Drosophila melanogaster: one gene and its partner. The protein of the gene in region 1 interacts with the protein of each later gene in a biochemical or structural test. Each region holds a gene or a part of one and is shown in the gene's direction. Other genes may lie near its edges.

Region 1 (5,360 bases):
TTCAATGGCAGAAACTATTTAATTTGGTTGAAAGCCCTATGTAATTTGGGTTTCATCCTGCAGGCAGTGAATATTGTAGCGGCAAACTGCCCCAGGCGTGAAATTAACGAACGAACAATTTGTCAGATAGATTTCGAAACAATTTACATTTGACGAAATAAATTGCGCTCTAATTTCATGCTTCAATTTATTAAATATCACATTGTATCAGTTATTTTATAAAATCGCGTTGAACAAGGTCACTTTCCATTTCGACATATCTGTCGGATAAAAAGAAACAATGCATCGAAATATAACTTTGCGTTGGCCGTCCAATTAGTTCACACATATAATCTGTTGATAGATTGAAAGAGAAGAACTACAGTGCAAGGTAATCCCTCAGATACGGGTTTGTCAAATTACATTTTTCGCAACTTTATGGCATTGTTCGTTCCATTTTTTTTTTTTTCTTTTTTCGTCCGTCAAGGATACATTTTCAGCAGTTGGCAAATAGATAAATCCTTCAGGGCCTTGGCTGGAAAAGAGGTCGTCCCACGTACGTAGAGTTAGTAAATAAATAAATGCCAGCTGGGGGTCACCAGGTCGAGTTTGTGTGTGGGTCGTGTCCGGGTCATGTTTGTGTAAATTAGTGGCACAAATAAACACTCGACCAGTAGCTGCAACAGCTGCACGAATGACCATCACGACAGCATCCAGAAAAACACTCGATTGATGGATGGTTGATGTCTGACCAGGGACCAAGTTTAGATAATTGAAAATTCTCGTGATTTGCAGCCAACTGTTATTGAAGCCCGACCACGTGTGCGCAGCTTATGTCTTCCGGGGCGTATGAGAAATTTGATTTGCCAGCCTTCTTGACCCATTCTCGCTTGGCAGCCGACAATCGCAGTGCTCACAATCTGATTTTAAATGCCTGCTGACAGCTCAGTCAGTCAAAGGAGAAGCTTCTTGCCAGCGCAGGTGTGCAAGATGTGTTTGCCCAGCAAATTGAACCTAATGCGGCTCACGGATGGCATTTAAATAAGCCAGCTGCGAAGCTGTGGAGTTCCCCCAAGCCTTTTCCCATCCGCAGAACTGGCAAAACAGGCAAAAACAGGCCCCAAGCTACAGGATACAATGCGAAGACAACTGTCAACATTTAAATAAGATTGATCGATTGGCAGCGTCAACGGCATTGACATTGCCCCCATTGTGGTGGGTGTTGGGCCTAATGCCATCGCCATCGCCATCAGGGGCGTGATGGACTTTACACGCGCTCAGATTTCCATTAAACAGGATGCCCCACGATTACGCTGGATACACTTAAAAGAAAATAATTTGAGAATACCTGTGTCCCATTGCTAAGAGGGCATTTAATCCATATCCATTATTATTATGAATTATATGATTATTCAGAAGCTTTTTATATACGTCATAATAAAAGGGTTTGGTTTAATTTATTTATGTCATACTTTTGACAACCTATCAACTTATATTTAAATCTGCATCTGTGGGTTTATCAGTAAGCAAGCATTTAGCTCGTTTATTAAGCCGCTATAATAAAATATTTCGTGGCTTATCAACGAATACCTGCAACAGTCAGTTTAAATATCATCAGACTAAAGTGATAACCCGGAAATTGAGGTAAAGCCCATATAAAATTCGTATTAAAATGTATTTTTTGATTTTGTTGTAATTTTTCCCACTGCAGACTTTACAATTAGCTTCCCAATTTGAATGCCAGTCACTCATTGAATCCTATTTTTCACTTGCTCTGTGGGCGACAAATTGGTGGCGCTTCCGTTTGGGATTTGCCGCTTGATTCGCTTGTTTACGCTGACCAGCGGGCTGCCTTTTGGCCGGTATTAGAGTGCATAACAAATCACTTAGCACCCGTCCATCAGGGACCTAATCAGGCTCGCATGGGGCCGCTAGCATTTGGCTATATAACTTGCTATCTGCCGCGCTGCTGGCATCAGTTGTCCCGCAAAGCAGTCCCAAAGCGCAACGCGGTTCCATTCGATCGTCCGACTATTAAGTTAATAGTTCCAGCGCTTCCGGAGTGTCCTGTCCTGTCCTGGGAGGTCAGTCGCTCGTAAACGCCAGAAAACACCTAGCAGCGAACACAGTTGGCCCAGTTATGTGTGGTCCTAGTTATTGCACACTGCTGCTAATCGCGGCTTCCTGCTACATCCTTGTTTGCAGTCATGCGAAGTCCTTGCAGGTGAGTCTCGGGCAAAGTGGGAAAAATGTGGTGGTGTTGGTACTGTGGCTTGTTGGCCAAACAAGCGCCACTTAATTAGTGTTATTTGCCCAGGCACAAGTTCGCCAGCTTAGCGTGATAATTTTCAACCAGTGCTGAAATTCTTGGATTTTTGGAACGGAAATTTTGGGGCGAAAAGTTTTCACTTTGACGTGTGCCTTACAGCATTATGTGGCGCACTCGTTTCCCGTCTGTCAACTGCATTTGAAGTGCTACCAATTAGTTTGCAGATACTGCAACTATTTTTTTTTTCTGCCAGCAGGCAATCAATTGGCATCCAATTAACATTTCGGTTGCAATCGCAGCAACACTGCGTATACGTGTTGCGCAACTTATTCTCGCACCACTAATTAAAATAACTTTCCATGCTTGGCAGTGCAGATGTAATAAAACCTAGTAGGCCTTAATTAATCAAAAAGACATAATTATATCAAGTTTATGCATAGTTCATTGGGTTGGGAATTTGTGGTGTTGTATTTGGTTTTAGGTAAATTATATCGTTTGATATCGAATCCGCAAGTGTTTTGTATTAAATTCTGGACATTACAAAATGCTTAGTGTTATTACAATTCAAACTGTAACTATTATTAATTATTTAATTACAAACTTATTCTTTTTCGTTTATTGTCAGGGAATATTATACGAATATGTTTCATAATATTTTTATTTAAACGGGGAAACTAAAAGAAACTAAAGAAATAACCAATAAATTCACGACAGCTACAACATTGCTCTTTTTCATATCAGCTTAGAATATTGCAAAATATATCGACTGTGCTGAGTGTATTCGAAAATGCTGAGCCAAATGAAGGTTTAATATCAAGTATACGCCCACGCAGACATCCGCTTAGAGTGAGCGTTTATTGGCGAATTGCGATTTACAAGCCGATTTCAGGTGTTGGCATTTCAATCTACATTGAGTTGTCTAATCAAGCGGCACACGCTGATCTGCCTTCCATGCCTGGGTGTAAATTGAAACAATAAAGTGCTTGACTCGCACATTCACACTCACATCCATAGACACCCACACGCACACATACAGGCACACCCGCAAGTCGGTTGGAAGGACCTTTATGCGTGTGTGCAGCTCACGTACGAGTATGAGCATAAATAGGCGGCATAAAAATAACTTAACACGTGTCGACAGTTTGGCAGCGTGGGAACCCTCAGTAAAAAAAAACAACATCCTCCAAGGAAATATCTCAAATATTTAGCTCCTTTTTTCGCCTGCTTTTTTGGCCCCTGCTTTTATGGCATTTTTTATTTGTGCAGGGCACGAGCAAACTGGATTTGGGAAATCACATCAGCGCCGGCTCTGCCAGAGGATCATTATCACCAGCTTCACCAGCGTTGAGCGAGGCACGTCAAAAGCGCGCCATGGGCGACTACAAAGAGCTGACAGACATCATTGACGAGCTGGAGGAGAATAGCCTGGCCCAGAAGGCCAGTGCCACCATGCAGGTGGCTGCCATGCCGCCGCAGGGCCAGGAATTCGATTTGGACACCATGCCGCCACTGACCTATTACCTGCTCCTTCAAAAGCTACGACAGCGTAAGTTGCCTATGGACACCTGCTGAAATGTGAAGGATATATGTATGAAGAGGGCAAGTCGCTCTAATTGGTTTCCGAATCACGTTCCCATTTCACGCAACCATCTCCATAATGTTCGCATACTTTATACATAAGCTTTTCCTCATTTTTTGCAGAGAGAAAAACATAATATGAAAATGTTATTTTCATTTAATATGCATGTCGTTTCTTTACTTCACAAGACATTGGCATATTTAAATGAATATTTTATATTCAGAAAAAAAAGAACAATCTCCATACGTAATGACAATACCGTACAAAAGTCCGAGAAATCTGCAATTTTTACTAGAAAAATTCCTTCACAGTGACTTAGGCAATGTTCAATGTTTTTCAAATTGAGTTAACCATTCATTCATTTATGTTATTCAATCATGGAAACTATTACTTATCCAAAGAATGTTGGATACATTTGAACAAAATTGTTTGAAAATTTCGCATTCATTTTTTCCTTATCAAAATGCTTATACATATATTATGAAATACTCTCCCTATTTCCATTTGGACAGTGCAGAGTAATGGGGAGCCCGCTTATCGCGTGCGGACGCCACGCCTTGGCCGCAGCATTGACTCCTGGCGACTACTGGACGCGGAGGGGGCGACGGGAATGGCGGGCGGCGAGGAGGCCATCGGCGGGCAGTTCATGCAGCGCATGGTTAAGAAATCGGTGCCGTTCAAGCCACGCCTGGGCAAACGTGCTCAAGTGTGCGGTGGCGATTGAGTCACGACAAGGGCGCGAGGACATGGCACGGCACGGAATCGGACTGCGGATGGAGGACGGAGGACGAGCCCAGGACAAGGTTGAGGCCAGGCGACTGGCCCTTGAGTTAACATAACCAAGCCATAATGGCCAGCTGAATTCGACGCGACGCAAAAATAATCCACATATATGCATAGTGAATGACTACTCTACTAGTTACTAGCGCTATAACCCTGATTTGAGAGGAACTAATGATGTGTATATACCGTACATATATTTATTATTTATTTAAATAAATTGTGTAGCCCCCAAAAGTAGCGTTGATTTTACATTCCAAATGAGCCGGGAATTAAATAAACATGGCAATTTCATTAACGACCTGCGCTTCCTAGGGTTCTATGTCCACTATACACTATATTGCCATTTTCCAGTTAAATTTATGAGAATTTCATAACCAATGGTAGGGCGCGTAAATTGGAAAAATGCGGCCAACATCCGTTGCCACAAAATCGCCCATGAGTGTTGACCATGGCAACTGCCGTTTGCAGTTGGCCCATGTGTGTGCATTTTGACTGATAAAATATCTTGGTTCCCTTGCCGCGCCCTTTCAAAAACCCAGTGCCACAATTGTGGTCCGGTCAAAAGCTTCTGGCTTTATTTGGCCTGATGAAGCATAGAAAATTGTGCGGGGCTTGCAATGAATGCGGAAACGGAAACATTTTATGAATGCTTTTTCAGTGGAGAACTTTAATTTAAAGTATCCATGTTCTGAGGCTTTTATCAAAAGTAACTACCTCTTTATTTTACTTCCATAAATGCAATAAATAATT
Region 2 (7,626 bases), 800 kb from region 1:
ATTTGAAAGGCTTTGCAGTGCATGTGAAAGTCTGCCTTCATTTGGCCAATCGAAGGTCACAATTAGCCACGAGCTATGAAATTTTGTCACCGACTTGTTGAGCGCGTGCGAAGGTTCAATAAATTGGTCCCGCTTAATAAAAAAAGCCGAAACTTGCAGAAATGTTTATACTCTGATTCATAATGCAAACAAAACTAAAGCTACTCTTTAATTAATAATATGTAAGCCAACAAAAAATACAGGCATATAAACAATTAAATGGTATAATCGAAATGAAAGAAAAAGAGAACTATAATAATTAAAAAAAAAAAAACCGTTGTTGTATTCTACTGACAGATAACTTTATATTTGCTGTGCCATCCTTTTTTCCTTTTTAGAAATGTAAAATCAGCCAATTCAAAGTGTTTTAAATGTCTGGGCTCATATCCACTATCTTGTCCTGGCAGACAAGTTTCATATTTTATTTATATAAGCCCCAACTCTTATATTATATTGCCTGTACTTAGGTGAAAGTTAGGGAAAGCAGTGCGCGGCAACGGGTTGGTCGAACTGCAAATGACTTTTGGCCTGCCCTCTCTGCGTGCAATAAAACTAAATGAATTGGAAACTTGCACAAAAATTCAACCAAACTGCTGACGAGGATGCCGCCGTCGCCTGATGACAGAGTCCTGGGCAAAAGGCAAAACTTCAAAATGCCAAACAAAACGCCCCGAATCTGATGTCATGCCCAATGTTCATAAAGAGCAAGGCAAACGAAAATCTCCCCCATTTTCCACTTTCTTGGCCATTTTTCTCGGCTTTCGTCAACAATTGGCAGCCAAAGTTTTGACTGGGAATGCCTTTGCAGCACGTGCTCTGTGTTTTCCCTTCCTTTGAATTCATGAGATACTCGATGTAGAAAATGTTGTAGGGTCCCTGACAAAGAAATGCCAACTCCGACCCTAGATTTTATATCCAACAACCACCAGTATTCATTGTTTGTTTAGGACTTTGTTTTGATTAAGTGCCAAAAAATTGTTTCGAATTATTTACATAAAAATTGAGAAATTGAATGCATGCAATGGATTTGATTTGTTTGCCTCGCGATTCGATTTTCCAAGCGTCTCATATACATTCGCTATATTTGTTTGCTCTTAATATATATCGCACCAACGCTGGGATAGGAAAATACACATTTTATGAGCCGCAAAGCTTTGATAGATTTTCCCGCACATAGCCATAAAAGTTAGGCCCCGGGGCACTAATAAAATCTCCCTTTGACTGATCATAAAACCACGGCATCATGTCCAATTTCGTGACTTGATGTCTGGGGCTCAACGGCGTACAAAGTGGTTGCACAAATTAATTTTAAGCAATTCGGATGTTTTCGCTACAGTAATAAAAGTTTTGCAGAGAAAATCGCACCATATAGTGGCAGTTACATCCAATTATGGTGCGCTGCAATGTAAATAAAATGCATTCATGCAGGAACATATGCATAGTATGCATATGCCAAGTTTTTAAATAGCAAAGTTATATTTGTATATAGTCTCAATTTTACAGAAATACCACGTTAAATCGTTTTCTCACTTAAGGGCACCGAGCGTTTCTAATCCGGAAAATTAGGTTCAGTATAATAAATTTCTGTTCTTATTCTTTGAGCGACCACTTCACCTTTTCCGAGCTGCCTTGACTTAAATTGATTGTGGTTGTCGGTTTAGTTGGGTTTTAAGTGGGCGACAAGGTCGGCATTGCATTGTCCTTTGGCTCTGTTAACATAATAATCAAACAATTTGCCGCCATGGGCAAATTAATACGCCACTAAATAAGATAAACTGCATGGCACTCCAGAATTATTTGCATTTTTATTACCCTTTTGCCGGGGGACCCTTCATATAAGGCCGAAAATCAGCAGCGCGCCGCCGCAGAGAACCGAAAAGCAACCGGTAGTTGTTCGCTGCCGACGTCGCTGTTGCGTCGCTGTTAACGGCAACGACCGTGGCCCGAACGGACTTCGTTGCCAAGATATTTTGGCCAAAAACCCAGTCAGTCGGATGCTGCGGCCCGTTGCTGTAGCCGCCGCCGTCGCTCTTTCGGTTCTTACGTTTTCGGATCATTTGACGACGAAATAAAACGAGATATCGGGAAAACCATCAATTTACGCGTGCCCCTCAGTCATAATTTTACGATTCGGAGAATCATTTTACGTACCAGAATTAATCAGTGCCATACGCAAATAGTTAAAGCCATTAATTCTGTGAGCGTGTATATCAAATTAAGCCCAACACGTTGCGGTCATTAATCAACATTTAGCACATGGTAAAAAACTGATTAGCTATATTGCAATAAAACACCTTAAAAACAAAACGAAATCACATCTCAGAGAAAGTGAGTGAAAGAATGGGGGGAGCACAGAGAGTGCAATGCTCGCAAATGCGAAGGCAGAGTGACAAAATCAAAACAGTTCAAAGCCATAAAAAATAAATGCATTCTGAAAAATGTGGCAGGCATCGTTTGATAAATTTAAATTAAACGTGTTTTAAATGCACAAACGATAGCCAGCCGAGTGTCGAGATATATAATTAATTGCCATTAGGCGGAATGAAAAGTTCCGAACAGGAGCACCGAAACAGTTGTAAACAAGTTGAAAATAAATAAGGCATTATCGGGGGCCTCAAGATCTACAGATTGCCAGTGAAATCCATTGACCCGAAACACTAATGGTGCAGAATCTATAATAACATATTATGCCTCAATGCGAACCGGCTTGCCAAGCGCAAAATATGGAAAATAATAGTAAACCAAATACAAAACTCACACTTTATGGACATGGGCGGGTGCATGGGCATAATTTTTTTCGGTGGGATGCCACACGGTCGATCATCGGAATCATCGGACAACGAAACGAAAACAGAAAAATGAATAAATGAAAACCAGTTTTATCGAATATACAATATAATAAAACCTAATTCGACAGCATTCTTTTGGTTGTGCATATATTGTAGAAACTTTTTTATGATAATGATAATGAAAACGTCCAAAAACGGTCAACAGCGGTCAGCAGCAACAATAACGAAAAGTATAGCCAGAATGTGAACAGAACAGAGCAGAACAGCAGCAGCCGAAAACACTCATCATCTGAATGGAATGAAACTATGTTAATGTTATTAAGTCACCCGGTGTCCATTTGCCATCGTCGTCTCCTTATCCGTCTTATCCACCACCTGACCTTGAGCTTCTGGCTCGTTTCATTCGTTTGCCACCTGGTGTTGGGTGGGAGACGGATCGGCAGGCCTGTCCTTCTCAGCCTTGTAGCAACATCCTTAAATTCATCCAGTGTACACAAATATTTTGACTAAATGCCACTTAGCAATTCAAATTAATTTTCAGCTTCCACTCGCCCTGATCCTGGTCTTTCGCCTAGGACACGCCTGACTGCCGCCTGCCAGTTTCCCAGGATGCCAGGTAAACACACAGGACACAAACACGCTTTAAGACGGGCTCTCTAAGGTGGACCTTAGCAAGCTAAACAAAGCGCACAGCTTACCAACCAAATTGTGTATATGTATAATTTATGGTAATTTAGAAATCTGGAGTAAAAAGCCTTAATGTTTGAATTTGTTTTATTACTAAATTCGTTAAAATGCGTTATTTGTCTTGTATTATTTTATTTAAATTTTAACAAATTTTGAAAAACATAGTTTTATTTAAATAGCACATAGGGTCCACCTTATCACACACATCCGTACACATAATTTAATCCCACACTCATGACAACAGATTGCAAGTGGAGTGGCTCTGGCCTAAGTCGAAATTGATGAGCCCCCGTAAGGGGCGTTATGAAAACATTATTTGCAAGCGAAAGCTTCGATTGAGAATACATACGCAGAAGTCTGAAATTTCCAAAGAAATTCGAAAATAATAGTGCGTATACACACACACAAAGACACACACCCTATGGCAGTCAAAATGCTGCCCACTAACAGTTCCGGTGTCCTGGCAACCGATCTACAACTGTTTCACAATGAGAAATTTCTCTTAAATCTGACACAAGTGCTGAACATCTCCGCGGACAACCTGACCAGCCTTCTCCAGGGCCTGGAGCCGGAGGAGCTTTTGCCCACGGTGACCCCGATGACACCACTTTCACTGCTGGCCACCCTAAGCGTGGGCTACGCCCTCATATTTATCGCCGGCGTTTTGGGCAACCTCATCACATGCATTGTCATTTCGCGGAACAACTTTATGCACACGGCCACCAACTTTTATCTGTTTAACCTCGCTATATCCGACATGATTTTGTTATGCTCAGGTGAGTGCAAAACTAAAATGTTCATGGTTTTTGAATTATAATTTAATTCAGTTCAGTAGTGCAAACAATAAATGGAACTGAGGCATATTAAATTAAAATTTGTAAATAAACAAGAAAATGTAGAGTGAGATATTCGGCAGATGCTCAAATCGATTTGCATTTTGAGGCTATAGGCTATAATTTCAGCTATTATTAAATATTTATAATCACACTATATATTTTGCTATTTTGCTATTTATGTTCTTAGGAATGCCGCAGGACCTCTATAACCTCTGGCACCCGGATAATTATCCTTTCAGTGACAGCATCTGCATATTGGAGAGCGTTCTCTCGGAAACGGCGGCCAATGCGACAGTTCTAACCATTACCGCGTTCACAGTCGAACGATATATTGCCATTTGTCATCCGTTCAGGTAAGGGAACCTTCATTCCTTCCACTGCCCATTTCCATTTTGCCCCAAACTTGCTTAATTGGTTCTGCTTTCGATACAGGCAGCACACGATGTCCAAGTTGTCACGGGCCGTAAAGTTCATATTTGCCATCTGGATAGCTGCCCTTTTGCTGGCCCTGCCCCAAGCCATTCAGTTCTCCGTGGTGATGCAGGGCATGGGAACATCGTGCACGGTGCGTATGATTGATGCGAGACCCTTAATCGTATGTCCCCCAGTTATGAGTTACCTGGTTAATTGATTCGTAGAACCGGTCCTTTGATCCTTTGATTCATTATGTGTTTTCCGTATAGAAAGTTCGAATAGAGAGCCTTTGTGAATTACAAAAAATTTAAGAGCATGATAAAAACAGCGACAATCCCTTACGAGGTTCGACTCAGTTTAGGCAATCAAATTTACAGCCATTGCCTTCCGGCTGTGGCTGTAAGCCAAAACCATATCGTATCGCATGCGAATACACATATATATTATTTTTGTGAAATGCCTGCTGTAGATGAAAAACGACTTTTTTGCCCATGTGTTTGCTGTGTCGGGCTTCCTGTTCTTTGGCGGACCCATGACGGCCATCTGCGTGCTCTATGTCCTCATCGGGGTGAAGTTGAAACGGAGCCGACTCCTGCAGGCGCTTCCCAGGCGATGTTACGATGTAAACCGGGGGATAAGCGCCCAAACGCGAGTCATCCGGATGCTGGGTAAGCAGGATATGAAATATCCGAAATAACTCATGGTTGCATCAGGCGCCCTTATCCAACTTTCCCAGTGGCGGTGGCCGTGGCCTTCTTCATCTGCTGGGCCCCCTTTCACGCCCAGCGGCTGATGGCGGTCTATGGATCCACCTCGGGCATTGAGTCCCAGTGGTTCAACGACGTGTTCAGCATCCTCGACTATACGTCCGGTGTTCTCTACTTCCTCTCAACTTGCATCAACCCGCTGCTCTACAACATCATGAGCCACAAGTTTCGTGAGGCTTTTAAGGTGAGTTTCGCTGCCGGATATTCATTTCTATAGCTTGCGTTAGGAAATTGAAAATAAGCTTCAGGTTACAAGTTTATTAATCGATTCTTTAACGGTCAATTTAGTGATTTTAAACTTCAAGCTAGAATTAAAAAACGTATTTAATCCCATTTTAGGTAACTTTGGCTAGACACTTTGGACTTGGTGGCAAAAATCAGGGAAGGGGGCTTCCTCATACTTACAGCGCTCTTCGACGTAATCAAACGGGTTCACTGCGGCTGCACACAACGGTGAGTGCACTGAGAAAAATTACATAATTATCATTCGATATATGCACTTAAATTCTATTATGTGGCATTATTTAAGAGGAAAATGAAAAGGATTAATATAGTGTATGTCCTGTTTCTCAAAATGAAATTTGAATCACGAGACTTTTTAAAACCACTATAAGATGTTTATTGCGTTACTTATTTTCGTGTCTGGCGACTGCACTTTCCCTTTCTGATTATCCCTCCATTCCTTGATTTCCTCCTGCAGGACAGCGTTCGCACCACAATGACTTCCATGGCGACGACCACCACTGGGCTAAATGGCTCTGCCAATGGCAGTGGCAATGGAACGACAACGGGTCAGTCGGTGCGCCTGAACCGCGTGTCCTTGGACAGTGTCCAGATGCAGGGTCAGAATCGCAGCCGGCAAGACCTCTTCGATAATCCGCGTCGCATGCTCCAGACGCAAATATCGCAGCTGTCATCGGTGGGCGATGCCCATTCCCTCTTGGAGGAGGATTTGCAGTTTCCCGGGGAGCCACTGCAGCGCCAGCCCACGATGTGCTCCATTGACGAGCTCACAGATGACTTGGCCATCTCGCGGTCACGCCTTAAACTTACGCGCATCACCCGCCCACCAGGAGGTGTGACGGGGGGCGTGGCAGGAGGCAGCACAACAGGGGCCGCGGGGTCGGGGGGCGTGAGCGGTGACGAGTCGAGTGGCAAAGTGCGCAAGGCGAAAGTGAAAGTGCTCAAGAGCTCAAGCCCGTTCAAGGGTCTCAGGACCAAATTCAATTGGCGTGCCAGACGCAAAGGCAGCCACAAACCGCACGAAAAGGGGGCGACGGTGAATGGAGGCGACACTGAAGAGCGGGCCGCCTTTTAAAGGGGGTCAGCATATCCTCTATCTGTACTCGATAAGCGAGGTAGTCCATTCCAGTGCCACCTACGTACATTACACACACACACAACTGTGATACGAGCAGCAAGCGCCACTCCAGCTTGTTTGTGTTTTAATTTAGACAAATATTCCGCGTTTGGGGTCAATTATATGGTTGTCCTTACCAATAACCGTAATATAGCCCAAAGCTATAGTTCGAATTATAGTTATAGTGCACGTAATCGAATAAACTATGTAGTTATGTACTCAGTTCAAAAATTCGACCGTTGTTTCATTTATAAAGTGGAGTTTAATAAAAAAAGAATGGACTTTTGATAAAAATAAAATGAATCTACATAGTTAAGCGTAAATAGTATTTGGAGTACAGTGATATATAAATACATATTAAGGTTGATACCCTAATGGTTTTATTATACAATTTAAATATAAAAGCGATCTCAGTTTTTTAAACAGCTGACCGACTTTGTTAGCAGTCCAATAGAAACTGTTATCTAATGTCAGTTTTTCAATATCCATTAATAACATTTCTCTTGCAGTAAATATTTTTTTCCCATTTAATGAATACATTTTTTTTTTTTGAAAGAGTGTGGATCAAGTGGGGATTATCAAGAAGAGGGTTCAATGGGCGTCTGGCTAATTACTGTCAGTAAAAAGCGGGCACTGCATCATAATCCCTGGCCATTAAGATGTTTATCTGGCGCACAAATTCGCTTTTTGGTCTGGAGTCTAGACAGTGGATGAAAGCCATTCTCGCGATTGGC

What was found. The genes of interacting proteins can lie anywhere in the genome.
Region 2: of the proteins of Hug (region 1) and PK2-R2, one has a biochemical effect on the other in vitro, tested with the Drosophila melanogaster proteins (one study listed by BioGRID).

The regions. Positions count from the first base shown.
Region 1 is NT_033777.3:12,524,237-12,529,596, forward strand, and holds Hug (hugin), read left to right. Parts: upstream 1-1,951; 5' UTR 1,952-2,119; coding exon 2,120-2,203; intron 2,204-3,514; coding exon 3,515-3,794; intron 3,795-4,339; coding exon 4,340-4,551; 3' UTR 4,552-4,840; downstream 4,841-5,360. UniProt on the Drosophila melanogaster protein: Probably has a role in larval molting.
Region 2 is NT_033777.3:13,328,562-13,336,187, reverse strand, and holds PK2-R2 (pyrokinin 2 receptor 2), read left to right. Parts: upstream 1-2,021; 5' UTR 2,022-2,298; intron 2,299-3,349; 5' UTR 3,350-3,444; exon of another isoform or gene 3,445-3,759; 5' UTR 3,760-3,936; coding exon 3,937-4,291; intron 4,292-4,538; coding exon 4,539-4,704; intron 4,705-4,783; coding exon 4,784-4,916; intron 4,917-5,234; coding exon 5,235-5,433; intron 5,434-5,501; coding exon 5,502-5,716; intron 5,717-5,871; coding exon 5,872-5,985; intron 5,986-6,232; coding exon 6,233-6,850; 3' UTR 6,851-7,118; downstream 7,119-7,626.